Linked DNA regions of Elephas maximus indicus. The protein of the gene in region 4 binds, or shares a complex with, the protein of the main gene of each other region. Links are inferred from orthologs where the notes say so. Each region holds a gene or a part of one and is shown on either strand. Other genes may lie near its edges. The genes, in order: TMEM231, TCTN1, TMEM107 and B9D1.

The links.
Region 1: B9D1 (region 4) and TMEM231 share a complex: the UniProt entries of both Homo sapiens proteins name them as parts of the tectonic-like complex. The link is inferred for Elephas maximus indicus from reciprocal best matches to the Homo sapiens genes B9D1 and TMEM231.
Region 2: B9D1 (region 4) and TCTN1 share a complex: the UniProt entries of both Homo sapiens proteins name them as parts of the tectonic-like complex. The link is inferred for Elephas maximus indicus from reciprocal best matches to the Homo sapiens genes B9D1 and TCTN1.
Region 3: B9D1 (region 4) and TMEM107 share a complex: the UniProt entries of both Homo sapiens proteins name them as parts of the tectonic-like complex. The link is inferred for Elephas maximus indicus from reciprocal best matches to the Homo sapiens genes B9D1 and TMEM107.

What each region holds. Positions count from the first base shown.
Region 1 is NC_064839.1:41,214,528-41,222,042, reverse strand, and holds the start of TMEM231 (transmembrane protein 231), read left to right. Parts: upstream 1-4,515; 5' UTR 4,516-4,608; coding exon 4,609-4,747; intron 4,748-4,833; coding exon 4,834-5,003; intron 5,004-7,515. UniProt on the Homo sapiens protein: Transmembrane component of the tectonic-like complex, a complex localized at the transition zone of primary cilia and acting as a barrier that prevents diffusion of transmembrane proteins between the cilia and plasma membranes.
Region 2 is NC_064840.1:9,153,115-9,160,120, forward strand, and holds the start of TCTN1 (tectonic-1), read left to right. Parts: upstream 1-4,000; 5' UTR 4,001-4,108; intron 4,109-4,497; 5' UTR 4,498-4,883; coding exon 4,884-5,193; intron 5,194-7,006. UniProt on the Homo sapiens protein: Component of the tectonic-like complex, a complex localized at the transition zone of primary cilia and acting as a barrier that prevents diffusion of transmembrane proteins between the cilia and plasma membranes.
Region 3 is NC_064837.1:12,589,128-12,596,684, reverse strand, and holds TMEM107 (transmembrane protein 107), read right to left. Parts: upstream 2,838-7,557; 5' UTR 2,705-2,837; coding exon 2,618-2,704; intron 2,430-2,617; coding exon 2,362-2,429; intron 2,260-2,361; coding exon 2,159-2,259; intron 1,444-2,158; coding exon 1,347-1,443; intron 1,162-1,346; coding exon 1,092-1,161; 3' UTR 516-1,091; downstream 1-515. UniProt on the Homo sapiens protein: Plays a role in cilia formation and embryonic patterning. Requires for normal Sonic hedgehog (Shh) signaling in the neural tube and acts in combination with GLI2 and GLI3 to pattern ventral and intermediate neuronal cell types.
Region 4 is NC_064820.1:213,491,971-213,499,632, reverse strand, and holds the start of B9D1 (B9 domain-containing protein 1), read right to left. Parts: upstream 3,001-7,662; 5' UTR 2,940-3,000; coding exon 2,877-2,939; intron 1,448-2,876; coding exon 1,379-1,447; intron 1-1,378. UniProt on the Homo sapiens protein: Component of the tectonic-like complex, a complex localized at the transition zone of primary cilia and acting as a barrier that prevents diffusion of transmembrane proteins between the cilia and plasma membranes.

The DNA.
Region 1 (7,515 bases), on a different chromosome or scaffold from region 4:
TTTTAGTTCTTATATTTTGATCCATTTTTAGTTAATTTTCATATATGGTGTGAAGATGGGTCCAAATTGTTTCTTTCGTTGTCCCAGCATCGTTTGTTGAAGAGACTATTCTTTCCCCTTTGGATGGACTTAGTATGCAGGGACTTTTGATGAAGAATTTGGCATGGATCATGGTAAAAAAAAAAAAAAAAAATCCTTCTGCCAAAATGAAAAATTTTAAAAAGGTTCAAAAAGATCACAACATTAGAAACTTTAGACTTGTTTTCAACTAAATATAAATCTGCCCAAGGCACTGCTATGGCTAAGAGGCTCTACTATGTGTTTGATATAGCAAAGAAAAATACTTGGGGCCAATATAACAAGATGAGACTAAATGAGCACACCAGCCCAGGGGAAAGGACTAGAAGGCAGGAGGGGACAGGAAAAAAGAAGAACAACAACAACAAAAAAATACTTGGACTATTACTGACTTTTTTAAAAGTCAATGGATGGGTGTAAATATTGTTGAATTAGCAAAGTTTTGTTATATATATATGTATATATTTTTTATCACAATAAAAGCAAGTCAGTAGACGGGATCATTCGTTTATATATAAACAAATATATATATATATATTTTTAAGTAGTTTGTCTTGGTTATCTAGTGCTGCTATAAAAGAAATACTACAAGTGGATGGCTTTAACAAAGACAAACTTATTTTCTCACAGTCTGGTAGGCTAGAAGTTCAAATTCAGGTGCCCGCTCCAGGGGAAGGTGTTCTTTCTCTGTTGGCTCTGGAGGAAGATCCTCGTCATCACTCTTCCCCTGGACTAGGAGCTTCTCACCAGGAACCCTGGGTCCAAAAGATGGGCTCTGCTCCCAGTGCTGCTTTCTTGGTGGTATGAGGTCCCCCACTCTCTGCTCACTTCTCTTTCCACTTATCTCTTGTAAGATATAAGGTGATGCAAGCCTAACCCCAGGGAAACTCCCTTTACATTGGATCAGGGATGCAACTGAGTAAGGATGTTACATTCTACTCTAAACCTCTTTAGCATAACACAGTCTTGCCTCATTAACCACAGGCAGAGATTAGCTTTTACAACACACAGGAAAATTACATCAATCATGAAATGGAGGACAACCATACAATACTAGGAATCATGACCTAACCACATTGACACATATTTTGCGGGGGCGCACAATTCAATGCATAACATAAAGATCTAATGGAAAATAAGGACCATGTCTTTTCATCAGAATTAAAAGCTGGAGATCTTTGTAACACCTCTTGAAAGATTAAACCCATTACCACCACCTCCTAGTACCCTCAGGAACTGATTTCTTTTGTCACTTCTCTTCCTTAAAGAGATGAAGTCAAAAAGACAAAATAATAGTTTCATGATTCTCGACACTATTATAAAGCATCTTTGTAAGTTATTTATTCTCAACCCTGACATAATAAACCAATGAAAGAAGTAAAGTAAGTATCTAGTTCAACGTTAGCAAACTACAGCTGATTTAGGAGATAATATTGGAGCTGTTATTACCTGTCTTAGAATGTGACCCAGCTGGAGTAGACTCACAAGGACTCACAAGGACACATTAACTGGTCCCTGAGGTATAAAGATGTTAGAAGACTCTTGGAAAATATCTTTTAGGGAAACTTTCACATAAACGTATCATAAAACAGAACACAGAGGAGTTTTCGTTCTTCTTCTGTTAGCATTTAGTGAATAGAAAATTTGTTGGACCAATGAAGACCCTCCTGACCGTCCTTACTGAAACCTGTGCCAAGGATTGTTAAGAAAGACAATTCAAAATATAGGGTAACAGTTTCTAGCTAATCTGTGAAAAGGTGAAGCTTTCAATGGTTTTGCCCGTTTGTAATGTTAATATATACTGATGACTCTAATATTCTCGGGACCTGGCAGACATTGCTCTAGAAGCAAGCTCGTCCATTTTCCCATTCTTGCCTATTCTGTAATATTTCCCTGGACTCGGGCAGACATGGCTGTGGCAGCATGTTTGTCTTTTTTCCCGCTTTTGCTTATTCTGTAATATTTCCTTGGACTCGGGCAGACAGCATGCTTGTCCGTTTCCCACTTTTGTCTCTTTGAACATATGCCGAATAAAACTTTCTTTTTGCTTTACTAAACTTTGTGATGTTTTTACCCTAGAACACGGCTCACAGACAAAATCTGGCCTGGTGCCTGTTTTTGTATAGCCCACAAGCTTAAGAATTTAAAAAAACATTTAAATGATTTAAAAAAATTAGTAACATTTTGTGACACATGAAAATTATATGAAATTTACATTTCAATGTTCATAAATATATTGGAACATGGCCACGCATTTGTTTACATATTGTCTATGACTGCTTTCACGCTACAATCACATAGTTGAGCAGTTGCACCTGAGACTGTAGACACGCAAAGCTTAAAATATTTTCTAGTTGGCCCTTTACAGAAAATGTTTGCCAAACTCTGATCTAGATAATCAACCACAAAACTCACCTTGGTCTCATTCCCCTGATTAAAAAGAAGAGTATTATTTATTTTCGGTTTTGTTTTCACTTTGACCGTTGTCTTTGTTCTCCACCTCACAGGATGTGTGCATGTAAACTTTAAATGTTTCATCAATCCTTCTTGTGAACTGTTATTTACAATAAACAAAAATAATTTTTAAAAATCCTTCTGCCATGTCCAAAACACTGGTTAGAAAAAAAAAAAATTCATTTAAGGAGTAAACCAATGGCTAGCAAAGCTTGTAACCAATATTTAAAAAGAGGTAGCAAAGTACACCAGAGAGCACGGTTTTTAATTCTCCCGGAACCCAGATTTCTAGGGTGCATGTAAGACAGGGAGCAAAGGCCCTGAGATCAGAGCGTGCCTGTTTGAAAAATAGCAAAGAGACTGGTGTGGTTAGAGGCGAAACAAGTAAAAGAAATAGACTATACGATAAGGGAGGTAATAGGAGGTTAAGTGTGGAACCCAGAGACTTAGCAAGAAGACAAGGAACAGAGGGGCCCCCAAATCTGCAAACAAAGTAACAGGAAATAGGCCAGGGCACAGAAACAAAAGCTATTCCCTAGAACAGTGGGGCAGGGTATTTTAAAATAGCCCACAAACTTCTTTAAAGTTGCCTTTCAGAAGCAGCTGGAGAAAACCAAGCCCAGAGACTTGAGCAGAACATGCACCTGTGACCACTGTGTGACCTTCCACCAGGGACAGTGAGGAGCTACAGCCTAGCTGGGAAATCGAACCCAGGGAATGAGAGAGACTGTGCAGGTGTGACACCCCATAATAAGTCCTGCTACAATCCCAGAGGCCTCCTGGACAGGAGCCATCTTGGAAAGCTACTGCACGTGCACCTTAGTTAATATATATCCGCCTGTGCCTATGAATAAACATGAATCTTTTCCCACCGAAGAACTTTTTAAAAACTCGGGCCTGTCCTTTGTTCTGTAAGAGGAGGGTCAGCATTGCCCTAGGCCCTCCTCATCTCTCTTTGCAGGCCTCTTCAATAAAGCTTTGCTCCTGTGGAAAACTACGTGCCTTACCTGCTCATTCTTGACCAGTGAGAGGCAGGAACCTTATTCTGGTAACACATGGAGTTGGGGTGACCACACCCATGCCATTGCTCTGATGTGATCTTTTGAATCTTCAGCCTTGAACAAACTGGTCTCCTAGAAGTCACCTTTAAGCCAAATAGTCTTGCCAATTAGTAAAGACCATTTTGCCTTGGAGGTTGAGCTCTTTTGAGAGTTCAGTTTCCATAAATAGAAGCTCCAAGGTGGATCTGGAAGCTGTGTTTTAGGGTAAATTGTTATTATGAAAACACTGTTCTGGTCATTTCCATGACAGTGTCCATAAGATGGGATATAACTATCTTTGGAAGTTCTGTTCTCGTTGGAAACAGTTTGACTATCAGAAGTGTTGCCTGATTTACAAATCATATTATATTAAATAAAACCATTAAAAAATGGTTTTGGGTTTATATTAAATAAACTTGAAATCAATTTCTATTATTGGCTTAATATGATCTTTGTTTTAACATAATAATTATCCTTTATTCCTCGAAGAGTGTGGGATTTCTGTCTTTCTGTTTCTGTGTCTGGCTGTTGAGTGGAAGGCACGGAAAATTTGGAGACAAAAGAACGTGGCTTTGGTCTTAACCCAGGACCAGATCCAGGACCGCAGCCACATTTACGTCCTGTGCGTTTTCCTCCAACGCAAAGTGTGCTCTGAGTGGTTGCACTTTAGTATAAACCACATTGGGGCTTAAACAGATGGCTCATAACGAAGTATTTTTTGTCATCCTTTATGAAAATGCTATTTTACACAAATGTTAACACAGACGGTTAATTAAAATTTTGGTACATGGAAACATCCTATTTCCACTCAGCCTTAGAAAGAACGCCACAGTTAAAGCGAAGTCGACCATCCACCAAAAGCACCGCCTGCCGTTAGCCCCACCCCTAACAGATCACTGCCTCCTTGCTATTGGTTCGTTTCACCCCTCGGTTGCCATGGAGACCAAGAATATGGCAACCGGGAGAAGCCAAACTTATTCCTCCCTTTCGAATCTCCGCGAGGTCGCAGCGTGCTGCGGACCCCCGCACGTCGTTCATGGCGCTCTACGAGCTCTTCTCTCACCCTGCCGAGCGCAGCTACCGCGCTGGGCTCTGCTCCAAGGCCGCGCTGTTTCTGCTGCTGGCCGCCGCACTCACATACGTCCCCCCGCTGCTAGTGGCCTTTCGGAGCCACGGTAAGCCAGCCCCCAAGCGCTGCGCAACACGGCTCCCCGCGCCTGGGCAAGCCGCCCTGACCTCCTCTCCGCCCTCTTTACCTCAGGGTTTTGGCTAAAGCGGAGCAGCTACGAAGAGCAGCCGACCGTGCGCTTCCAGCACCAGGTACTGCTTGTGGCCTTGCTGGGACCGGAGCGCGGCGGGTTCCTTGCCTGGAGCACGTTCCCCGCCTTCAACCGGCTGCAGGGGGACCACCTGCGCGTCCCGCTCGTTTCGGTGCGTGTTTTCCGCCCCTGCCCTGCGGCCCACCCCGAGTGGGCGGGAGGTGAGGGTAGGGGCGACGGGGGACGAGCAACCCCTGGCCGAGGAGAGCCCAGCTTGGGTCTTAAGGGTCCGCGAATACTTGTTTACACAGGCTCGTGGGCCTGAGCTTACGTTTAATTTCCAGGCGAGTAGATAGATAATGTTTCGTTTTGATTCTCCAGGAGGTCCACGACCGCTGGAAAAGTTTGTCATTGCTTTCAGGGAACTTTGGGGCCAGAAGCCTGCCAACAGTCTGTCTCTAGATCTCCTTACTTCTGTGGACCTGGCCTGATGGAGGGGTGGCCGTGACAGTGCCTTTGTATTAATGACCCCATCCTGTCGCTGTAATTGCACATCGTAACACCGTAGCCGCAGAAAGATCAGGTATTTGCCCAGGCGCTGATTGGTTAAGCGACCATCCCAGCGAGTGCTGCTGGCTAAGTCACACCTTCCTAGGCTGCACCATCCAGCACTATCTGCACGAAAAGAAGCATTTACTGTCTGTAAAGTAGTACAAAGGTGCCTTGGTTGCGCAGTGGTTAGAGCGCTCAGCTGCCCGCCAGAAGGTCAGTGTTTGGAATCCACCAGCGCTCCGCAGAAGATGCTGGCAGTCTGCTTCCATAAAGAGTTACATTCAGCCTCGGAAACCCCATGGGGGCAGTTCCACTCACCAAACAGGTTGCCTTGAGTCAGAATCAACGGGATGGCAATGTAACACAGGTAGTCCCGGACTTAGAATGGGGTTCCATTCCTATGAAGTCAGTTCTGACATAAGTCGAATACTTAATTTTTTTCCCAATTATTATTGCCTTTTATTATCTGTATCTTTATAAATCTGATCTTTATTTATCTTTTGGGATTGGCATGAGAATGATAACATCGGCAAATTACGCTACTGCAGCATTGTATGTAGTACGTTTACTAATGGGTGAGATATACGAAAAAAAGAAAGAAAGAAAAGGATGGTAAGTGTGGTTCCTCCTAGCTGGAATACATTGTAAACTGGGGAGTACCTGTATTTGGTTCAGAATAAGTGAGCGCTTCCTTTGCAGTCAACCCTTTCCACTCATCTTCTGAGAACATCTTCCTTTAGATGTGTGAAACTTCTGGTCTTCCCTTTTCGAAAGCTGAATCTCTGGACACCTCTGAAATAAGAGCCTAGGAGCTATAAAAAAAAAAAAAAATACTTGTTTTAATTTGCTGACAAAAAAAAATTCAGACTTTTTTCCAGCAATTCAATAAGATGAAATTAAAGAAAAAAGTCTTGTCATATGAATAACTATAAACAAAATATAGTTCTGTTTGTCTTTTTTTGTGGTTACTTTATAAATTTTTCTCACATTTTCTTCTGATTTCAAAAATGCTTGCCCATTGTAAAATATTATAAAGGAGTTACAGGTATAACCTGACAGAAAATGAAAGGCTCAGTTTGGTATGTGTATCAGTACTTGTTGATCAACCTTATTCCTTTTAAGTTCTGCAAATTATTTCGTTATATGGAAAAACTATAATGTATTTAGCCAGTTCCCTGTTGATGGATATTTGATTTGCTTGCAATTTTTCACTGTAAGAGTCAGTACTGCAAAGAACAAGATTTAGAATACCTCTTACATCTTTAAATGCCAAATCGTGAGGAATTGGAATAGAAGCTGTTTGTTGAAATTGAGAAAAGTACATAGAAAATTAAATAAGCAAATACAATAATTATTAACTTCGGGGAAATAAAAAGTAAGAAAAGTGAGGAAGGGAAAAGTAATTAGAGTTATGAACAGTGTTCTACCAGAAAAACCAACGAAACCCATTCTTCTCAAAGAGACCCTGTAGGACAGAGTAGAGCTGCCCCACAGGGTTTCCAAGGCTGTAATCTTTCAGAAGCAGACTGCCACATCTTTGTCCTGCAGAGCAGCTGGTGGGTTTAAACTGCCAACCTTTTGCTTTACAGCTGAGCACTTAACCACCATGCCACCAGGGCTCCTGAACAGGGTTTACAGCATCATAATTATATTGACTAACCAAAATAACAGTTTAACTGAGAAAGGTATGGGTATGTGGTGGGGCTGGTAGAAGTGGGATAGGGGAACGAAAAAGCTAAGTCTTTACCTTTCCTTGTGGAAAGTCAATAGAGAATGCCTAAAACTGAGAAATGGAGAAGTACTAATGGCAAATGTTATTTATAGACATGGAGATGTGTTTCTAAATAATCAGATAAATGAGATCAAAGATTTGCCTTTGGTGGGATAGGTGGAAGTCTGCTTTTTTAAAATTGTTTTTAAAAATAAGACTGGATTAGGAGAAATTTCTTTGAATAGCTCCTCATAATCATGACATATTGCCGGTTTTTATTATTTGAGATTATAATACCTCTGGAGAAGCGTGACCGTGGATGAGGGGTCAGTGTCGAGATAGACTTACTTTTCACTGTATACCTACTGTATTTCTTGCTTTCCATGTGCATGTATTTCTTTCCCAAAAGTGGAAACATTTT
Region 2 (7,006 bases), on a different chromosome or scaffold from region 4:
TCAAACACAACTGCGGAAGAGCTGCCTCCTCAAAGCAGAGTCAACCTTAATGACATGGATGGAGTAAAACTTTCGGGATCTTCATTTGCTGAGGTGGGACGGCTCAAAATGAGAAGAAACAGCTGCAAACATCCATTAATAATCGGAACATGAAATGTATGAAGTATGAATCTAGGAAAACTGGAAGTCGTAAAAAATGAAATGGAATGCATAAAGATTGATATTTAGGCATTAGTGAGCTAAAATGAACTGTTATTGGCCTTCCTGAATCTGCCAATCATGTTGTAGTCTACTACGCCAGGAGTGACAGATTGAACAGGATTGGCGTTACATTCATCGTCAAAAAGCATTTCAAGATCTACCCTGAAGGACAACACTGTCAGTGATAAGATAATATCCATACACCTACAAGGACGACCATTTAATATGACTATTATCCAAATTCATGCACCAATTACTAAGGCCAAAGATTTTTTTACCAACTTCTGCAGTCTGAAATTGATCAAACATGCAATCAAGATGCATTGATAATTACTGGTGATTGGAATGAGAAGGCTGGAAACAAAGAGGAAGGACAAGTAGTTGGAAAATATAGCCTTGGTGACAGATGATGCTGGAATTGTATGAAAGAATTTTGCAAGACGAACGACTTCTTCACTGCAAATATCTTTTTTCAGCAACATAAATAGGGACTATACATGTGGACATTGCCAGACGGGATAAGCAGGAATCAAATCGACTACATTTGTGGAAAAATGTCAGAAAAAGGCCAGGGGCTGACTGTGGAACTGACTATCAATTGTTCATATGCAAGTTCAAGCTGAAGCTGAAGAAAATCAAAACAAGTCCACAAGAGCCAAAATATGACCTTGAGTATATCCCACCTGAATTTAGAAACCATCTCAAGGACAGATTTCACACATTGAACATTAACGACCAAACGAATTGTGGGATGACATCAAGGATATCATACATGAAGAAAGCACAAGGTCATTAAAAAGACAGGAAAGAAAGAAAAGACCAAAATAGATGTCAGAAGAGACTCTGAAACTTGCTCTTGAACGTAAAGCAGCTAAAGCAAGTGGAAGAAAGATGAAGTAAAAGAGCCGAACAGAAGATTTCAAAGGGCAGCTCTAGAAGACCAAGTATTATAATGAAACGTGCAAAGACCTGGAATTAGAACACCAAAAGGAAGAACATGCTCAGTATTTCTCAGGCTGAAAGAACTGAAGAAAAAATTTTAAGCCCCAAGTTGCAATATTGAAGGATTCTATGGGCAAAATATTGAACAGTGCAGGAAGCATCAAAAGAAGATGGAAGGAATACACAGAGTCACTGTACCAAAAAGAATTGGTTGACATTAAACCATTTCAGGAGGTAGCATACGATCAAGAACTGATGGTATTGAAGGAAGAAGTCCAAGCTGCACTAAAGGCATTGGCGAAAAACAAGCCTCCAGGAATTGATGGCATACCAATTGAGATGTTTCAACAAACGGATGCAGCACTGGAAGTGCTCACTCACCTATGCCAAGAAATTTGGAAGACAGCTACCTGGCCAACTGACTGGAAGAGATCCATATCTGTGCTCATTCCAAAGAAAACTAATTCAACAGGATCTAGAAATTATTGAACAATATCATTAATATCACACACAAGTAAAATTTTGCTGAAGATAATTTAAAAATGGTTGCAACAGTACATCAACAGAGAACTGCCAGAAAGTCAAGAAGAGGATGTGGAACAAGAATATAATTACTGATGTCAGATGGATCTTGGCTGAAAGCAGAGAATACCAGAAAGTTGTTTACCTGTGTTTTATTGACTATGCAAAGGCATTTGACTATGTAGATCACAACAAATTATGCATAACATTTGGAAGAATGGAAATTCTAGAACACTTAATTGTGCTCATGAGGAATGTGCACACAGACCAAGAGGCAGTTGTTCAAACTACACGGTTTAAAAACATGAAAGGTATGCGTCAGGGTAGTCTTCTTTCACCATACTTATTCAATCTGTATGCTGAGCAATTAATCTGAGAATCTGGACTATATGAAGAAGACTCATTAACAACCTGCAATATGCAGGTGACACAACCTTGCCTGCAGACAGCGAAGAGGACTTGAAGCACTTACTGATGAAGATCAAAGACCACAGCCTTCAGTATGAATTATACCTCAACATAAAGAAAACAAAAAATCATCATAACTGGACCAATAAGCAACATCATAATAAATGGAGAAAAGACTGAAGTTGTCAAGGATTTCATTTTACTTGGATCCACAAAGTGCTCATGGAAGAAGCAGTCAAGAAATCAAACGAAGTATTGCATTGGGCAAATCTGCTGCAAAAGACCTCTTTAAAGTGTTAAAAAGCAAAGATGTCACCTTGAGAACTAAGGTGCACCTGACTCAAGCCATGATATTTTCAATCGCCTCATATGCAAGCAAAAGCTGGATAATGAATAACGAAGACCAAAGAAGAATTGGTGCCTCTGAATTACAGTGTTGGTGAAGAGTACTGAATGTACTATGGAATGCAGAAGAATGAACAAATCCATCCTGGAAGAAGTACAGTCAGAATGCTCCTTAGAAGCAAGGATGGCAAGACTTTGTCTCATGTACTTTGGACATGGTATCAGAAGGGACCAGTTCCTGGAGAAGGACATGGTGCTTGGTAGAGGGTCAGTGAAAGAGAGGAAGACCCTCAACGAGCTGGACTGACACAGTGGCTACAACAATTGGCTCAAGCATAGCAATGACTGTGAGGACGACGCAGGACCAGGCAGTGTTTGCTTCTCTTGTACATAGTGTAGCTATGAGTTGGAACCGACTCGACAGCATCTAACAACAACAATCTTTATGGGAGCAGATCACCAGAGCTTCCTCCTGCGGAGCCGCTGGCTGGGTTTGAACCATCAATCTTTCAGTTAGCAGCTGAGTACTTAACCGTAGCACCCTGGCCACCAGGGTTTCTATTATACTTATTAGCAGGAAAAAAATGATACCTAATTTTAAACAGATTAGAAGCCATGACTGTAGCAATAATAATAATAACAACAACCACCAGCTCACCTCAGAAGACACCAAAGAATATGAGGAGTGGTTAACACTGCCTTGTGCCTTGCAAAAAAAGCCTTAACCCCCCCCACCCCCCACCCCCAGGTACTCCTGTGTCTTAGCTTTTTCAGGCTCCTCATATGCAACATTTTCCAAGCACAAAATTCCAAAGCTGAAATGTCTTTAGTCCTTCTAAGGCTGGCACAGACTCTAAGGAATTGAGAATGCCAATAACCCTAGAGAAACAGATGGACATTTTATATCACAAACATTTATGAATAACCCAGACACTGCAGTGTTGGAAAAATAGGGAACAGATGTTAACTTCTCTTTGTGTCCTTCCATCCAAATGAGGTAACCTGCTAAGGCCAGGGCGGAAGGAAGGGAGAAAGGATCCTCTGGGATGAAAGATGAAAAAAGCCTGGCTCAAGAGGGTATCACCTGACAGAAACAGGTCACTTGTGAAATGAAAGATCCAGTTTTCCTAAGATTTGCAAAGTGTATCTGAGTTGATGTAACCCTTATTTCGACTTGGTAAGATGTCATAAAACGACTTTTTGGTTATGTACTGACTGAGATTGGACAAGAAGGTATGATGAGATTATTTCCCAAATTGTGTCCTAGTTGGAATCATAGGATGTTAGACTTGAAGAGGAACTCACAGGTCATATAATCATGAAGATAAAAAAAAAAAGAAGTTAAAGCCAAAGAGCACTTCATCAAAGTCTAATGCAACAACAGCCTAAAATTTCAAAACAGAAAACAGGACAAAGTGATTCACAGATGTTAAGCAATAAAAAAGAGAGTGAAATCCTGGAAATGAGGAGAAGGTTTAAAAAAGAAAAAGTCCTCGATTTAGCAATTATGAGATGGAGGTTTGGAAAAAAAAATTTTTTTTTTGAGGGAAAGTTTCATCAGTTATTAAAAGTGGTTCAGAATTTCAGTCAGATGCCAAAGCAATGCTATGAAGAAAAAGTTGGAACTGTGTGCCACCCATGAGTGATCCAGCTATATTTTTCTACGCTTTCTCCGGAATGCCACAGGAAGGTGCTAAAGATGTTGCTTTGATGATTTAGTTTTGCTATATATATATATTTTTTATTTAATAAACTAGGTATATGTGCTGTTTTGGCATCTTTCTGAATTGGTAAATAAATGTTTCTTGAATAAATACCATGATACGTTTAAGTATTTCGACATCTGCTTCTTAAATGTGAGATTATTTGTCCACGGTATAACTAACCTCCGTGGGTTCGGGTCCCCTCTGTAAATAAACCAGTTTAGGATGAAGGGACTTCCCTCTAAGTCTTGTGGTCTCTTTATCACTTTGTAGGATTACAGTTGATTTGCTTTGTGTTTTAAGACTGAAAATCATTCTATTTAATTTTTGTCAGTTAAAAAAGTCATTAAGTGTTCATTTGTCCCCCTTACCACAGAGCGGTGGACAGAAGTTACTTGGAGACCTCTCGGGATGCGTCTACAACAAAAAAGGGAAAGGCTGGGTCGAGCGCGTTCTGGATGGAGAGAATTCAAGGACGGTGGTGCGACGCCCATACTTCTTCAAAGGACTCGTATTTCGTAGCATCAGGACAAAAAAAAAAGAAAGCGGTTGCCAAAGTTCCGTCCCCTCACCGGTGGCGTCAGGGCACTTGTGAAAAATCCTGATTCCAGGACCCTGCGCGACGCCAACCCAATCAAGGTCTCCTGGTTGGAACCCGGAAATCTGCATAGAAGAGCCGCAGTCGAGCTGGAGAACGACAGCTGGGATTTCCCCGCCCCTCGTTTCCGCCATGTCGCGCGGCTTCGCGCCCTCCTTCCCGTGATGCCCCGCGTTCGGCCACCGCGGTTGCCAGGCAACGCGCTGTCCACCGCAAGGACCGCGCGGGGGTTCTGCAGGGCGATGGGGCCGCGGGGCTTCCAGCCGCTCCTGCTCCTGCTCCTGCTCCTGCTCCTGGGCTGCTGGAGCCCGGTGAGGGCCCAGACGGGGACCACCCCGGCGGTGACAACGGAGGGCCTCAGCTCCACCGAGGCAGCCCTGGCGACTCTCGGAGCCTCCACGCCGTCTGGGCCCCCTGCCACTCCCAGGGCGCGGGGCCCCTCTTCCGGTCCCCGGCCCACCCCGGTCACGGACGGTGGGTACCAAGTGCCAACTCCTGGGCTCCACAGTGATTCAGCCAGGAGAGGGTAATGATAATGATGATAGCTAAAGTTTACTGCACACTCAGTGTGTGCCAGACATTGCCGAGTGTTTCACAGGCGTTATGTAATTTCTGCCAACAACCCTGAGAGGTAGATGATAGGGTCCCCGTTATACAAATGAGGAAACCGAGGCTCGGAGAGCGTAATGGTGCAAAATCAAATATTTTAAAGCACTAGCAGAGCTCTTGGGCAATATTAATGTTAAAGGTAATAAATACTGAATAAAGCGTTGCAGCCTTCCAGCGGCAGATGAAATTTAATCAGAAGTTTCTAGACAGTTGTGGAAATTAAATGGATGGAATGTGTTCGGAGTTTTTAGTTGTATTAAAGAGACTCCAAAGGTCTAGTTTTCTAAATGTCAAGGCCCTCGTCTATCGACTTGAATTCTGAAAACTCTGGATTCCTCTTTAGTTAAGTTTGCCATGGGAAGATATGGGGTGAGGGATTTTGCCCACTTTTTAAGATTAATATGTAGAGCTGATTAACATTTCTCAGAAAGTGTCCCTGGAATCGGACAGTTACATGTTTAGTGAGTATTTTATAATCTGATTTGCCATGGATGACTTAGGGGGTGTCTATGACCCCCTGAGACTGAGTGCAAAATCTTGTGAACACGCATTTTTCTGGGATGAGGGTCCCTAGCAATCAGTAGATCTTCAAAGGAGTTTAGACCTCTAAGTAGATAAATAGCTGGATAGGTTATCTGACTGTGAAGGTTGAAAGAGGTGTGCAGTAGGTTTTATCCCCACTTAAGAAAACAATACTTTTTCTTAAATTGAGTAAGTCTCAGTACTAACTAGAAAAGTCATTATTGGCTGGCATTCTGAACTCTAGGACTTAACTTTAATAACTGAACTGTTATTTCTCCAAGGGGCCTCCCTTATAAATCATGAGTGGTTTGTCTGAAAAAGTATGGTGAAGTATAGTTGTTTAATAGATATGAACAGAATTCTGTTTCATATTTAAACTGTTGATTGGTGAATTAGTAAGGAAGTGAAATCAGTGATAAATTGTGACAGAATACAGCAAAGTATTCAACACCCAAAATTCTCCAAGGTTTTTGGAGCTGGCTTGTCTTTTATCTACGTTAGTCCTCCACCTGTTAATGTGCTTTCTCTCCCAAATGAAGCTATTCTTGAGCCGTCATTATTAGGGCTTGGGTTCAGGGCTCTTTTTGCCATTATAGGGGATTAATTTATACCGATCGTCATCTTTTTAAAGAATACTTTAGGCCTGTGACAGTAATGATAAATGACAGTCATGTATTAACAGCTTGCTATGCGGTGGAGCCCTGGCAGCACAATGGTTAAGTGCTATGGTTGCTAACCAAAAGGTCAGCAGTTCAAATCCACCAGCCACTCCTTGGAAACCCTATGGGGCAGCTCTACTCTGTCCTATAGGGTGGCTATGAGTTGACATCAACTCGACAACAATGGGTTTGGTTTTTGGTTTTGCTATGTGGCAAGCACTGTGGTAAGCATTTCAGCTGTGATATATCTCACTTCACCCTCGTAACAACCCTATGACGTTATCACTATTTTTCAGATAGGCGAAGTACTTGCTTAATTTAAGGCCACATGGCTGGTAAGTGGTGGAGCAGAAAGCTGGCTCCAGTAGAGAACTGGACAGCCATTTGCAAAACTGGTTGCAGCCAGTGTTGGTGGAAGAGAAGAGTGGTAACTGTTCATCTTGAATCTGAGCTCTGCTCATTAGTACCCTACTCTACGATGCAGGCATGTAGACATT
Region 3 (7,557 bases), on a different chromosome or scaffold from region 4:
AAACTTTTTTTCATAACAAAAACTGAAAGAAGTGATCGCCAGTAAAATCAGATAGGAGCAATCAGGATGTTGCTGGTCCTGATTACGCGGAAACGTTAATCACGGATCATGCGAGCTCCAAATCATCATTTTAAATCTGCTCTCCAAAAGGAGAAACAGGTAAGGATTAACCTTACTGACGATAACCTGAAAACCTTACCCACTCCGCACTCAATGAAAAAAATTGCGCTTACACCTAGGGTGAGCGTAAAACTCATTCGCTGAAGCTACCTAACGTTATTTAAGGCTCCTCCGTTTCTGTAGCAATCTTTCTTTGTGGATTTTTAAATATACTTTTTTTCATTCGCTTCCGAAAAAAGAATAAATCAACTCTTCCCAGAATGCTCCGCGTAATCACTTGCTGAGCCGGAACAGTGGCATCCCCTTATTTACATATCCCCACCCACTCCCTTCCGCCAGATGTCTACCGTAATAACCAAAATAAAAGGTACTTACTGCCAGGCGCTCCTTGGAAACTCTATGGGGCAGTTACACTCTGTCCTACAGGGTCGCTATAGGAATCGACTCGACGGCACCGGGTTTTTTTTACTATCATACAGTCTGCAAGGCTGGAAAACAGTCTTCCGTTTCTTCAGTAGCTTGGCCACCCCAAATCTCCCTTGAAATTTTTATAACTCTTTTAAAAATATATTTTATTATGTTTTAGGTGAAAGTTTACACAGCAAATTAGGTCCCCATTTGACAATTTTTATACAAATTGTTCCGTGATATTGGTTACAATGTTCACAATGTGTCAGTATTCTCACCTTTACTTTTGGGTAAATGATAGTCTCATCTGGTTGATTTTTTTTAAGGGAGTACATTCCTCAGGGGTGATGTTGTTTGAAATTTTTAACACAAGTCTTGATCTTATTAAAAATATATTTTATTACAAAATACTACATAAGACGTGAATAATCCTAGACGCGGAAGATAATCATGCCAACGCTGACATCCTCCTCTAGATGCAGGTGCAGGGCGAGGACGGAAGTCTATGCCTTCCTGCTCCTGTTGCTCCAGCCTTTGCCCCTCCATTCCCGTCATTAAGGTGATCACAAAGGTTTCTTTTTCAGTCCAAAGACGGTGACGAATAATGCCATTTCAGTGACCGCTGGGAGGGCGCTGTGGGAGGTAGGTGGTGGATTCAAGGACCCTTAATAAAAATACCCAAATCCCCAAACCAGAGACCCCACCGCCAGCATGCAGTGGGGAATATTTCAGGATGTTGAGTGGATCTGGCATCTCACACATGGAGGACACCTTCAGATTTGAGGTAAACCTTCCTCTCCCATTCCCAAATACCTTACCTGCAGAAGACAAAAATGTACCAGTACGTGGTGCACTCCCAACGCTCAAATATGAAGAAGGATAGGGCCACGGATGCACTACAGTGTGCCCCGATGGCTTGGGCACACCCTAGAGTCAAGGAAAGCCTTGGGATGGCAGGTAGTGATGGGCCAGAAAAAGCCCGTGGTGGGGCTGGCACCTGTGCTCAGGTTAATCTCTAGCTGCCTCACCACACTGCAAGATCAGAGCCTGAAGCCTTCTGAGTTGTAGAACAGCCTTCTGAGTAGAAGCCAGAGGTGAGGCTGCACACCTGGGATCCCAGGCTACTCCCACCCAATCATTAGGGGGCAGCCTGAACCCTCCAGGTGAGGTAAGAGCAGGTTCCCCACCTACCCCCAGGCCACACAGGCATGCTCACAGCAGCCTGATGCTGTTAGCTGGAATCCCCCTCCACCTCCCTGGGACTCCTGGCCCACAATTCAGGTGTCAAGCCGCTCTCCTGATCCATGTCCCTCACTTCCTTTGTCTTCTCTGAGTCCCCATATTGCTTTATACCCTTCCACAATCCTACAGTGTAGTGCTGGTTGTATTGCATTACCTTCAAGGTAGAGATGTTTTACCCCCCTTTCTGGATCTCCAGTGTCTGGTGTATAGCAGGGACTTAACACATTAATGAAGACTGTATTAAATCCCTCATACTGTCTGTCTAAGAAGATCTCCCAACTGGAAAGATTTTGTCTGTGCCTTAGGACAAACACTATTGCGCCAGAAAAGCCTAGTCAGGCGGCTGGAAATGGGCCGTGTGGGAAAGGTGTGCAGGTGGAAAGGATACAGATGAGGCTCTGGGTGCTGTTGAACATGGAAACTCCTGAGAAGAAACCGGCCAACTCCACTGCAAAGAGGCCCAGGGTGACAGAGAGAGCTGCCACCAGCCTGTAAAGAGGAAGGGTGCTGGCTCAGCCCTTGAGGCTTTTTTCTAAGACCCCTCCACTCCGACCACCGCTTCATTCTGACCATCCCGCACAAAGAGCTCACTGAACATCCTGCTTCTCGTACTCCTCGGGGGTGAATGTGAGAGGCAGGCAGGCCTGGATGTTGCTGTCCTGGGGAGCCGGGCAGAGAGGAACAAAAGTGTGAAAAAGGGGCCGGCTGCGGGTCCGGCGTGAGGCGGCGGGGGATGGGGGAACCCCCGAAAGGGCCGATGTCAGAAAGTCCTAGGGAAGGGGCGGGGTAGGACTGGGACTATCCTAGGTGGGGCTAGGGGTGACAAGCGGGCGGCCGTAGGTCTTACCCGGGACCAGAATAAAGTGATGACGATAACCAGATGTGCCAGGAGCGTCAGGAAGCGAGAGGGCACGAATCCGGAGACCCGGCCCATGGCCCCCGGGGGCAGGGGCACTGGCCAGAGCAAAGGCCGTGGTCTCTGAAGCTGGAAGCTCTCAGTGGGTCCTGAGGTCCCCGCACCGCCCGCCCGCGCCCACCAGCGCGGAGAAACTCGTATTCCTCCTCCCCTCCCGCGCTGGCACCGCCCAGTTGCCTTGGCAACTGCGTAAATAGGCGCTGGGCCACGTTCTCTAGAAATCTCGCGAGAGCAGTAAATTCTCGAGCCGCCAGGGGCTTCCAGGGCAGCGTGGGTCCGAGATCCGCTGCAGGTGGTCGCGAGTCGGAACTGAGTTGACTGGCAGCTCCTCGATGGCAGCAGAGCCGTCTGCCCCTGAGACTGTGCCGTGTGGCGTGGCCTGGCACCGCCGAATCTACCCGGCCGGGCGGGCGAGCAGAAACCCGGCCTGCTCTAGCCCGGGGACAGCCCCTCGTCCCCAGATGCTCACACAGGGAACGACCTAGCCCCCAGCCCCGGCTACGGTGCGCCGGATGACCCACCACTGGAGACCGCTGCCACTGCCACGCCGGGTTTGGGACACTGGCGTGTATGTACAGATAGATAGACAAAGATAAAACAATGTCTGGGTGAAAAAAATAAAACACATGAGAATTCCTTGTAGTACTTTTGCAGTTTTTCTATAAATCATTTTAAAATACAAAGTTTAAACCAACACACCTTCCAACAACAAGCTATTTTGTAGATATCGACAAAATAATTCTAAGTTTATATGGATTGCTTTGTAAATTTTGATTTTAATTTTGTTCTGTAATTATGTTAAACATTTATGTGGTTGCATAGTGAAATCTACCAAAAAAAAAAGTACATTGAGAGAAGTCAGGCCTCCATTCGTGTACCCTCCACCCTCCATCTCAGGTAAACCATTTTATTAGTTTTTGGTTTATCCTTCCGTTAAAAAAAAATACATATGTACACACTATAGCCAAAAACCAACCCCAATGATTCCAACGCATAGCAACCATATAGGACAGAGTAGAACTGCTCATTGAATATACCATGGACTGACGGAAGGACAAACAAATCTGTCTTGGAAGAAGTACAGCCAGAATGCTCCTTAGAAGCAAGGATGGCGAGACTTTGTCTTGCTTACTTTGGGCATGTTATCAGGCGTGACCAATCCCTGGAAAAGAACATCATACTTGGTAAAGTGGAGGGTCAGCAAAAAAGAGGAAGATCTTCAGGGACATGGATTGACACAATGGGCTTAAACATATCTAATACTGTGAGGATGGCACAGGACTGAACGACATCTCATTCTGTTGTAGATAGGATCACTATGAGTCAGAGCTGACTCAACAGCACTTGACAACAACATCTATGAGGCAGATAGAAAACCGAGGCACAGAGCAGTGTATTTACCTGCCTGAGGTCACAGAGCCTGTAACTGATGACAGCACCAAAACCAAACCATACCCAGTGCTGTTAAGCAAACCCCAGTCTGACTTAAAAATCTGAGCTTTTAGCCACCAGACTCTTACCTCTCATCAGTCCTGACTATAATTTGTAATCATTTGATTTATTACTATACTCATTTATTATGTCTCTCCTACTAGAACAAAACGAATACAACAAATAAATGAAGTTCCCTTGAGGTCAAAGCCCAGGAGAGCCACTGCCATTCCGAAATGTGTGTAGGGGCTTGTGGGAGGAGGGGTAGTAGATCAGCAGCTACTCAGCTTCAATCAGTTGTCTTAAGGGAAACTGAGTCCAATGTTGCCAGATTCCTTGCTTGTTTGTTTTTTCTGAGAGACCAGAAATCCAGCTTCTTATTTCAATTCTAAATGTTGGTCTTCAATTTAAAAATGAAAAAAATAACCATGATGGCAATACAGTACACCAGGCTTCAACCTCTGGACCAGCACTATCCAATAGAACTTTCTCTGATGATGGAAATATTCCATATTGTCTATGTCTAATATGGTAGCCAGCTAGCTTCATCTGGCTATTGAACACTTGAAATGTGGATAGTGGGACTGAGAAACTGAAATTTTTTTAAAAAATTTATTGGGATAGCCCCATGTGGCTAGTGCCAGCTCTAGAAGTCTCTTTCTGTTAGTTCTGGGAGAAGGTCCTTGTCATCAGCCTTTCCCTGGCCTAGGAGCTTCTCAGCACAGGAACCTCAGGTCCAAAGGATTCAGCTCTGCTTTCTTGGTGGTATGAGGTCGCCCTCCCCACCTGTCCCCATCCTTGCTTCCCTCTTTTATATCTCAAAAGACATTGACTCAAGACACAACCTAATCTTGTAGATTGAGTCCTGCCTCATTAACATAACTGCCTCTAATCCTGCCTTATTAACATCATAGAGGTAGGATTTACAACACATAGGAAATTCACATCGGATCACAAAATGGTGGACAGTCACACAATACTGGGAATCATGGCCTAGCCAAGTTGACACACATTTTGGGGGGATACAATTCAATCCATAACAATTACCGATTTACAGATGTAGGCCCTGAGGCACAGGGAGGTTCCATAAGTAGCCCAAATTACACAGCTAGTAAGTAGCAAAGCTCGTATATAAATCCTAGCAACCTGGTTCCAGAGCCCACATACTTAACCACTATATTACTTGACCTTGTGGGCCAACCTTCATCCAAAAGGTGATGTGGCACTGATTTTAAGCTAAGGAGTGAGGGAATCATGTTTGAATTTTACAAAGATGATTCTCTTGACTATTCTGGAGGCAAGGAGAACAGAGAGGAGTCTATTACAATAATGGGTCAAAAGAAGCTGGGGCTTGTCAATGGGAAAGGAGAATGAGGACTGACAGGAGAATTATTAAGGAAATTGGCAGGGCTTGGTGGCTTATTGGAAATGGGAATTGCGGGAAAGGAAAGAGTCAAGGTTGAGTCCCAGCTTCAGCTTTGCCACTCACTGAGCGTGCAGAAGGACTGGGAAAGGATGACAGGGTCAAGTAGAGGTGTCTGAATCTAGAAGTGGGGTGGTATGGAGAGGGAGTGGGATCCAGGAGCCCTCAGCACACAGAGATAGCTGAAGCCAGGGAGCATGCATGGCTTGAGGAAAGAAGACAGAACTGGAAAATGAGGATTTAAGGTGAGGACAGAAAAAGAGGGATGAGTGAGGTGGGGCTGGGGGAGGAGCGGGTTAAGGGACGGCCAGCAGACAAGTGTCCTGACAACCAAGGGAGAAGAAGATTCTTAGAGGAGATGTTGTCCTGAGTCCAGTAAGGCCAGGCGAGAGGAACATCTGTGGGCTTTGACATTTCTGTGGTCCCTTAAAACTTTCGGTAGGGCCACTGTGCACAATGTGCAAAAATTTGGCTTGGAGGGCAAGGAGCGAGATACTGTATGACCTTCTCTCACATGTAAGCCTGTTGAACACCTCTCATCCTTCAAGACACAGTCGGAATTTCTTCCAGTTCCGGCTGTTCCTCTGCAGAAGTCCCAGCTCTGTCTAGCTACCCAGTTGCTGTCTTCTGACTGGTGGTGACCCCAAGTGTCTCAGAGGAGAACTGTGCTCTGTAGGGTTTTCAACGGCTGATTTTTCAAAAAGTAGAGTTGAACCTCCAACCTTTTGGTTATCAGCCGAGTATGTTAACCGTTTGCACCACCCAGGGACTCCTCCGTCTCCCTAGTGGAGCTTTAAAAAAATACTGAAGTTTCAAAACGAGACTAAAAGGGGCACACCAGCCCAGGGGCAAGATCTAGAAGGCAGGAGGGGACAGGAAAGCTGGTAATAGGGAACCCAAGGTCGAGAACGGAGAATGTTGACGTGTCCTGGTGTTGTTAACCAATGTCATAAAACAATACGTGTACTAACTTTTAATGAGAAGCTAGTTTGTTCTGTGAACTTTCATTTAAAGTACAATTTAAAAAAAATACTGACATTCATGGTGATAGAAATTAGAACAATGATCGCCTCTGGGAAGCGGGGGTGGATTGGGAAGGGATAGGAGAGAACTTTCTGGGGCGATGAAACCATCCTGTATCTTGAAGAGTTGTGGGTTGCGCAGGTGTATGATTTTGTCAAAATTCATCAAACTGCATTTCATTGTATGTAAATTATACAAAAATATCTACCCTGGACCATTTAAATCAGAGTCTCCAAGCCTGGGGCTTGTGCGTGGCTATTTTTTAACGCTCCGCAGGAGATTGTAATTTGCAGCCGGGGAGAAGGTGCACTGATGGAGGAGCTAATCTCTCACTTCTTCAGGCTCTGGAATGGCTCCGTCACACTCTGCCTGGTATCTGTCCTTCCATCCGTTTCTGGGCAGGTCCATCCCAGCTGGCCTGTGGTGACCAGCTCAGGCCCTCTTGGTTGTCTGCAGGACTCCAGCCAGAGTCGGGGTCGGAGGGACCGCTGAGCCTGGAGCCTGTAAAACCACTGCCCTGTCAGTGCCGCCTGCCTCTGCTCACCCAGCGGAATGGGCGGGAGAACGCAGGCACCACTTTGCGTGTTTTGACAAAGGAAAGAAGGTCCTCGGCTCTCGTGTCTAGGTTGCCAGCACGTTAACCGCCTGGCGGATCAGTGACCATAAGGAGGGCTGGCAACTTTCTCTCCCGCCGACCTCGTGGCGCAACGGTAGCGCGTCTGACTCCAGATCAGAAGGTTGCGTGTTCAAGTCACGTCGGGGTCAGTCGCTTTTTCTTAGCTTCATCACTTAATTTTTCTCGTTTTCAACTATGTTCAAGCTCGAGCGTGCAGGTCAGGGAAGAAGCACCTCGTAGGGGCCGAGAGGGCAGGGTTTCTGGCACAAAGTTCCAAGGCCGCACCGTCGGAGGAACACAACGATCTCGCAGTGGTTCTTCCTCGAATCCCGGTGCCCTAAGTATGGGCGGATAGCCCAGCTCCTGAGGCGCGCCGTC
Region 4 (7,662 bases):
CAGTCTTTACAGGAGCAGATCTCCAGGTCTCTTCTACCACAGAGCCACTGGGTGGGTTCAAACCACCAATCTTTCAGTTCACAGGCAAGCACTTAACCATTGTGCCACCAGGACTCCTTCTGGCCTCTTTACTGCTCCTCAAAAGGCTCTCCTGCCACAGAGAGAGCCTTTCTTTGCACTTTTTGCTCCCTCTGCCTGGATGGTTCTTTCCATAGATTTCCACATGGCTTGTTCCCTCACTTCCTTCAGGTGTTTATTCAAAAGCTACCTTCTCAGTGAGGCCTTCCCTGACCACCATGTCTAGATTCCTAAACCCAAACCAGTCACTGTCAAATCAATTCCGACTCAAGGTAATTCCATGATATCAACCTCCCTCTTTGCCTTCATACCCTCCCCCCATTTCTGACTTTGTTTTCCCTACAGAACTTATTACTAACAAACTAGAATATTTACTATTTATTATTTTCTGTCTACCTACACAAGAATGTGTACTCCAGGAAGACAGGGACTTTTGTCTGGTTTTGTTCACCTCTGTATCCTTAGCACCCAGAAAACAAACAAAAAAAAAAAACCAAACCCATTGCCGTTGAGTCAATTCAATTCATAGTGACTCTATATGAAAGAGAACTGCCCCATAGAGTTTCCAAGGAGTGCCTGGTGGATCTGAACTGCCAACTTTTTGGTTAGCAGCTGTAGCACTTAACCACTATGCCACCAGGGTTTCCCAGAAGACTCTCAATATTTATTCGATAAATAAGTGAATGGAAAAAAAGTACTGTCATCTTAGTTGTACAGATGAGGAAATGGGAGACTCAGAAAAGTTATCTAAGCTGGGCTTCCATTTCCCTAACTGCTGTGAGGTATAAACAAGTGCTGTGCAAAGAGTAAAGTATGTGCAAACTGAAGACATCACTATAATCCCTCTCCTGGTGGAGAGACTGTTCTCTAGGAAGCCTAGGAAGTGAGAGATCCTGTTCTGTCTTGTGACTCTCCAAAGTCCTCCCCATGGTCTAAGGAGAGGCCAAATGACGAGGGACTGGCCCAAAGTATCTACAGCTCATCCCTTCCAAGTTGGCACTCTGGAGCCTGCCTGCTGCATTGCACCTGTGTTCCTCTTTGCCACCTGCTGCCACACATAAGCTCACAGGACAGGGTACCTGAGTGAGAATAGTCTGGCGGTGGGGGTTTATTTGGTAGCCCAATTGTGGCTGTGTTCTCCAACTCCAGCTTTATCAAAAACAAACTCACGTTTGTTTCCAAACTCTGTCTCCCTCTAACTTGGTTCTGAGCTGGGAGGGGAAGGGGTATAATGGACACCTTCAGAAACCCCAATAATCACGAATGCTGTCAGCGAGGGAGGCCCAAGAGTTCAGCTTACCGCCGTGGGAGCCCAGTCCTGCCCGTACACGAAACAGTACTTGCAGTAGAGGTCGTCATACTCTGGAAACTGGAAAAAAGCACACGTGAATTCTGTTTACTGGGACTCATGTTGAGGCCCACCAACATGTCGGCTAGGCAGGTGCAGCCAAAAGGACTTCTGAACATGAGGCACCTGGGCCAGGGCCCAAGAGCCAGTTGGACACATGGATATGGCGTTCAGCAGAGAGGGCTGAGGACTGAACTGTGGGAGTCCAGAGGAGGGTTCCCAGCTGCTACAGCCCCTGGGCCTTTGCTCAGGCTCTGCTTTCTGTCTGATATGCTCTTCCCACTCCTTCATCTGGAAAACTGCTGCTCATCCTTCAAAACTTACCCTCCTGAAAGCCTGCCCTCTTGTCCAGGTTCCTTCAGCACCTGGGCTTTCCTCCATCAAAGCACTGATTGCCTGTCTGTTTGCCAACCCATTAGATTGTGCATAGGAAGCACAGGGTGGGCACAGAGAAGGTCTAAGGGGATAACGCCGAAGTGAAAGGTCTGAGAACCAGGAAGCCATCAGGACACATGTCATGAGGAAAGACCCAGCCCTGCTGAGAGCCCCTGATGGGATAGAACAGGAGAAAGGCAGAAGACAGCATCAGGTGCTAGACCAAGGGGGAGGTGGCAGGATGGGTGCATGGGGCAGAAGCATCCATGAGGAAACTGAAGGTAGGAAACACCTAGTAAGTATCAGGCCCTGGGCACAACTTTACCTAAAACATCTCATTTAATCTTCACATATAAACACCATTTCCAATACCCCATAAGGTCACTGCTAAGGTGTAGCAAAGCTTTGAAGTCAGACAGACCTGGATTCAAACCCCAGCTCTGTCACTTGTAACACAGGGATGTTAATAACACCCATCTCACAGTGTTGTTGTGCTGAATGAATGGGAAGGGCTAAGGGCCACGTCTGGTGCAGAGTGAATACCTGACACACATTGGCTTTTATTATGATTATTAACGTTTTTATAAAGTGTTGGGAGGTGGGGAGTAGCGTCCCTTTGGTATGACAGACACACCTCCCTGGATGATTCCTGGCCACCACCACCGTCGTTGGCTAGGGTTACCCAAATCATCCCCACTCCAGTCTGAGTTCCATGATCTGAGGCTCACAGACGCCCCGACTCGGTCACGGGCGGAGGAGGCCTGTGCGCCGGCCCAGTTGCCCCAGTGACGCCCCGTGAAGCTCCTGCCCGTGATTCAACAAGGCCAGGGGTCAGAGGCTTGACCAAGCGTCCCCCTGGCACGAGCTCAGCCTCTGCAAGCCTCAATTTCCACGCTGCGCATTAGGAACGCCTAGCATCGTTGCGCCGAGCCCCTCACACGCCGGTTTTCCTCCCCCGCCTCACCAAGGGAGACAGAAGCTCCGAGGAACGACAGGCCTCGCTGGACCGCAACGCAGCCGGAGGGGCCGAGGGGCGTATCCCCGGGGGAGGCTGGGGAGGGTCCCGGTCGCTCACCTGGGCGCTCTCCACCTGCCCGTTGACCATGAGTAGGAAGACGCTGGGACCCGGCGCCGCCATGGCAGCGCGGGGGGCACCGGGAGCCGACCCTGGTTGCAGCGCGGTTGCTAAGAGGCGCTGAGGTTACCTTGGAAACAGACGGCGTGGCGCGCGGGACATATTTCTTCACTAGTGCGCGTGCGTGGTATTGCGCAGGCGCAGTTAGCGGACGCTGCCGGGAGAGTCGAGGAGGGTACCGTGGGGCTCAATGTGCTGGGACTACGGTGTCGCCGCCTATCAGTGCGAGGCGGGGGCCAGGTGCCTAGGACAGGGTCGGCTACCTGGGCTCTGGAGGGACGTTACCGAGCTGAGGCCAGGCAGCGCCCCACATCGGGCTAAGGTGGTACCCGCTTGTGTTTTTAAACTCTCCTCCCAAAAATGTTTATTAAACAAACTAAGCCACCACTTCTGAAACTAGGGAAACTGAGGCCCACAGAGGGGCAGTGCCTGGGACTAGAGCAGAATCTCCGACCTGTGAGGCTCTGCTCAAATGACAGTTCCTCTTAGGCCTCTCTCGTCCTCTTGCCGTTAACCATGGTTTCTGTTTGTACGTTTATTGAGACTCATAATTTGGGCCAATGCTTATCTCCCCCTCTAGACTGCCAGCTGCATGAATATGGAGACTGTCAGTCTGGTATCCCCATTGCCTGACACATAGCAAGCACACAATAAATACTTGCTAAATGAATGAATAATTGAATATGTCCCCATTTTACAGAGTAGGAAACAGATTCAGAGAAGGAAGGTGACTTGGGCAAAATCACAGCAGTGGAGGCCCTGGTGGCGTCGTGGTTAAGAGCTAACCATAAGGTTGGCAGTTCAAATTCATCAGGCATTCCTTGGAAACTTTATGGGGCAGTCCTACTCTGTCCTTTAGGGTCACCATGAGTCAGAATCAACTCGACAGCAACAGGTTTGCTTTTTGGTTTTAGGTGGCTGAGCCAGGACGCAAACTCACAGCTCCACAGACTAGAGACCCTCACCGCCCCCTCTGCCTTGTCCTGGGTCACTTCTTGGCTCAGCATCTGAAGTGGCATTAGAGACCTCCCAAATCCAGGAAATGAAAGGATGCACAGGAGTGTAGACTTTGGGAAGCCAGACCCTGAGTGGGCTGCCAGGTCACCACCCTGCTCAACAGCCAGCTGCCAGCTTAGGAGCACACAAGGGGGCTCCTGTCAGTCACTGGTGGAGGAGAGGGAAGGATAGGTTACAGCCCAACCAGCTGAAGCCCTGACCCCAGGTAAACAAAGATACCTGATTGGGGAGAGGGGGCTGTGGGTAACCAGGGTTTATTCATGTGATAGAGGCTGGGAGCTGCAACAGGTGGGGGCTGCACAAGTAGGAGCTGTTCAGTTCCTGGGCACTTGGCCGCACACCACCCCACCCCATGTCACACCCTGTCTCTTCCTTGTTAATATGCTTTCTCTGACAAATTTTACCAGTCTTGCCCAACTCCTTCCCTTCTGTGACCTTTGAGACTCAGGACTGTGCCAAAGTTAGTTTGCAGCTAAATGCTTGAGATGATCAAATAACCAGGGGGCTTCTGTGCTTTAAAACCTGGCCATGCCAAAGCCTACTTCACATTTGAATAGGACACAAAAGGGGGACTTCCCCCAAGGGACAGGGGCCTCTGGGGTGGCCACCAGAGGTGCAGAGAAGCCCAGCTCCCTGGGTGTTGGTGAATGGGAGATCCCAGGGTAATGTGGAGTCTACTCTCTTTAGGAGGAACTGGAGGGAGTGTTAAGGGATCTTAGGGGTTTGTTCAGGGCTCAGCTGGAGTCGTTACCACAAGTTCAGGTGGACCAGCTGGGGCCTGGTGCACTGAGAGCCCTCAAGTAGGCTGACATCCAGGGTGGGACAGTCAGGCTGGAGGCGAAAAGTGTCTTTGCAGTTGCTGGGGGACAGTGGCCTCAGCAGCACACTGTGCAGCTCTAGGGGTGGGGCATACGGGTCTGTGTGGGGATGGGGGCCCTCAGCCGATGTGCCCAATATGGCTGTACTGGTGGTTAATGGATTGAGATGCTTCTCCACCAGTGGGCACATAGCTCCTGCCCTGGTCTCCCTGCCCCAGGATGTGCCTCCTGGCTTCTACTCCTCGACTTTCCTCTTCTACGTCACCCAGCACAACCCTGCCCTCCACTGGACTCCTGCCTCACAATCTCCTCAAGCTCATGCGATCTTGAGCACCCTGGGGCAGGGAGTTTGGGGGACAAGCTGTTGCCTGGTAGGTGTCAGACATCCAGGCTGGAAGCTGACTCAGCAGAGCAGGAGGTCAGTGCCACCCTCCTCTGCAGCCCCCAGCACCACCCTGTCTGTACACCTCCCCAGGCCAGTATCCTCTGGCCCCCAACCATCCCATGCTTCCTCTCTCATCCTCACCAAAATCAGACTAAAATCCTTGGGCCCAGCAGGGAGGCCAGGAGCCAGAGAAAGCTCGGGAACCTCAGCATCCAGCAGCACAACGGAATAACGGGGTCCATGGTAGGTGGTCTGGGGTCCAGGGTAGAACCCAAGGCAGGCTTCAGGGGTTACTATCCCCAGCCTGTCCCCAGCTTACTAAGTCACTGCCCTACTCTAGGCCTCCATGTAGTCATAATAAGAGGAGGGTGATGCCTGGATGACCTCATTCTCCTGTTAAGTTGGGCCTAGGCCTGGGAAGGTCTGGGGGAATCTCTGGCTCTCTGAATCCTGCCTCAGGGGCTGTACCTTTCCCCTTTGCCCATGAAATTCAAGGGAGGAAATGCATGCAGAGGCTTCTTCCAGGGGTAAACTGGCCAAGGGAGCTGTAGAGAAGTGAGTCAGACAGCCCTCGGCTCCAATCCAGACTGCCCCTCACAAGCTGTGTGACCTTGGGCTGAGGATCTAATTTATCTAAGTCTCAGCTTCTGAGGAAATGGGGATTATAAGGCCCCTGCCTACCAGGTTTTAGTCAGTGGTAGCAACAATCTCCCATGAAGATGATGGGAATGCATTTGGAGTCCAGCTTGTATTGCTGAAAAACACTGTAGATATTTAAAAACCATTTGTCCTTTCTGAATGACGCTATAAACAAACCAGACTTAATAAACATATGTAGAAAATTCCACCCTAAAACAGCACAATATACACTCTACTCCAGTGCACATGGATCATTCTCCAGGATAAACCACATTTTAGATTATAAAGCAAGTCTGGATATATTTTAAAGAATTGAAATCATACTTTCTCTGAAATCATATTTTCTCTGACCATAACAGAGTGAAACCAGAAATCAACAACAGGAAAAACCCTGGAAAAAACACAAACATATGGAAATTAAACAACACACTGTTAAAGTACCAATGGGTCAAGGAAGAAATCAAAAGAGAAGTCACAAATTTCTTAGAATCAAATGAAAATGAAAGCACAACATATCAAAACTTAGGAGTTGCAGCAAAGACAGTACTCAGAGGGAAACTTGTATCAGTAAATGTCTACATAAAAAAAGAAAAATGTTTTCAAATTAACAGCATAACTAGACAAGCTCAGGAACTAGAAACAGAAGAGCACGCTAAGCCTAAACCTACCAGAAGAACGGAAATGATAAAGACCAGAAATAAAAAAACAGAAAAACAACAGAGACAATCAATAAAACCAGAAGATGTTTCTTTGAAAACATCAATAAAATTGACAATCTTTTAGCTAGACAGACAAAGAAAAGATGCAAATAACCAAAATAAAAAAATGAGAGAGAGGACATTACAACTGACCTGATAGAAATAAAGAGAATTATGACTGAATATTATGAACAACTGTATGGCAACAAACTGGATAACCTGGATGAGATGGACAAATTCTTAGATGCACACAACCTTCCCCAACTGACTCAAGAGGAAATAGAAAGCCTCAACAGACTCATACAAATGAAGAGACTGAATCAGTGATCAAAAACCTCCCCCCACCCCCGAAAAAAAGTTCCGGACCAGATGGCTTCACTGTGGAATTCTACCAAACATTTAGAGAAGAATTCACACTACTGCTTTTTAAACTCTTCCAAAAGATAGAAAAGGAAGGAATGCTCCCCAATTCATTCTATGAAGCAAACATAACCCTGATACCCAAACCAAAGACACCACAAGAAAAGAACACTACAGACTAATATCTCTTACGAATATACATGCAAAAATCCTCAACAAAATACTAGCAAACAGAATCCAAGAACATATTAAGAGTCATACACTGTGACCAAGTGGGGTTTATTCCAGGAATGCAGGGATGGTTCAGCATTAGAGAATCAGTCAACATAGTATACCATTTCAATAGAACAAAGGAAAAGAACCACATGACCGTCTCTATGGATGCAAAAAAACATTTGATAAAATCCAACAGCCTTTCTTCATGACAATTCTAAAGATTGGAATAGAAAGAAAATTCCTCAATATGATTCAGGGCATATATGAAAAGCCAAGAGGCAATATTATACTCAATGGAGAAAGACTGAGAGCTTTCCTCTTGAAATTGGGAATGAGACAAGGGTGCCCGCTCTCACCACTTCTATTCAGTATTGTATTAGAAGTCCTAGCCAGAGCAATAAGAAAAAGAAATAAAACGTATCTAAATTAGACAAGAAGAAGTAAAATTATCTCTATTCACGAATGATATGATCCTATATATAGAAAATCCCAAAGAGTCCACAAGAAAACTTCCAGAGCTAATAGAGATATTTAGCAAAGTTGCAGGGTACAAGGTCAACACACAAAAATCAGTTAGGTTTCTATACACCAGC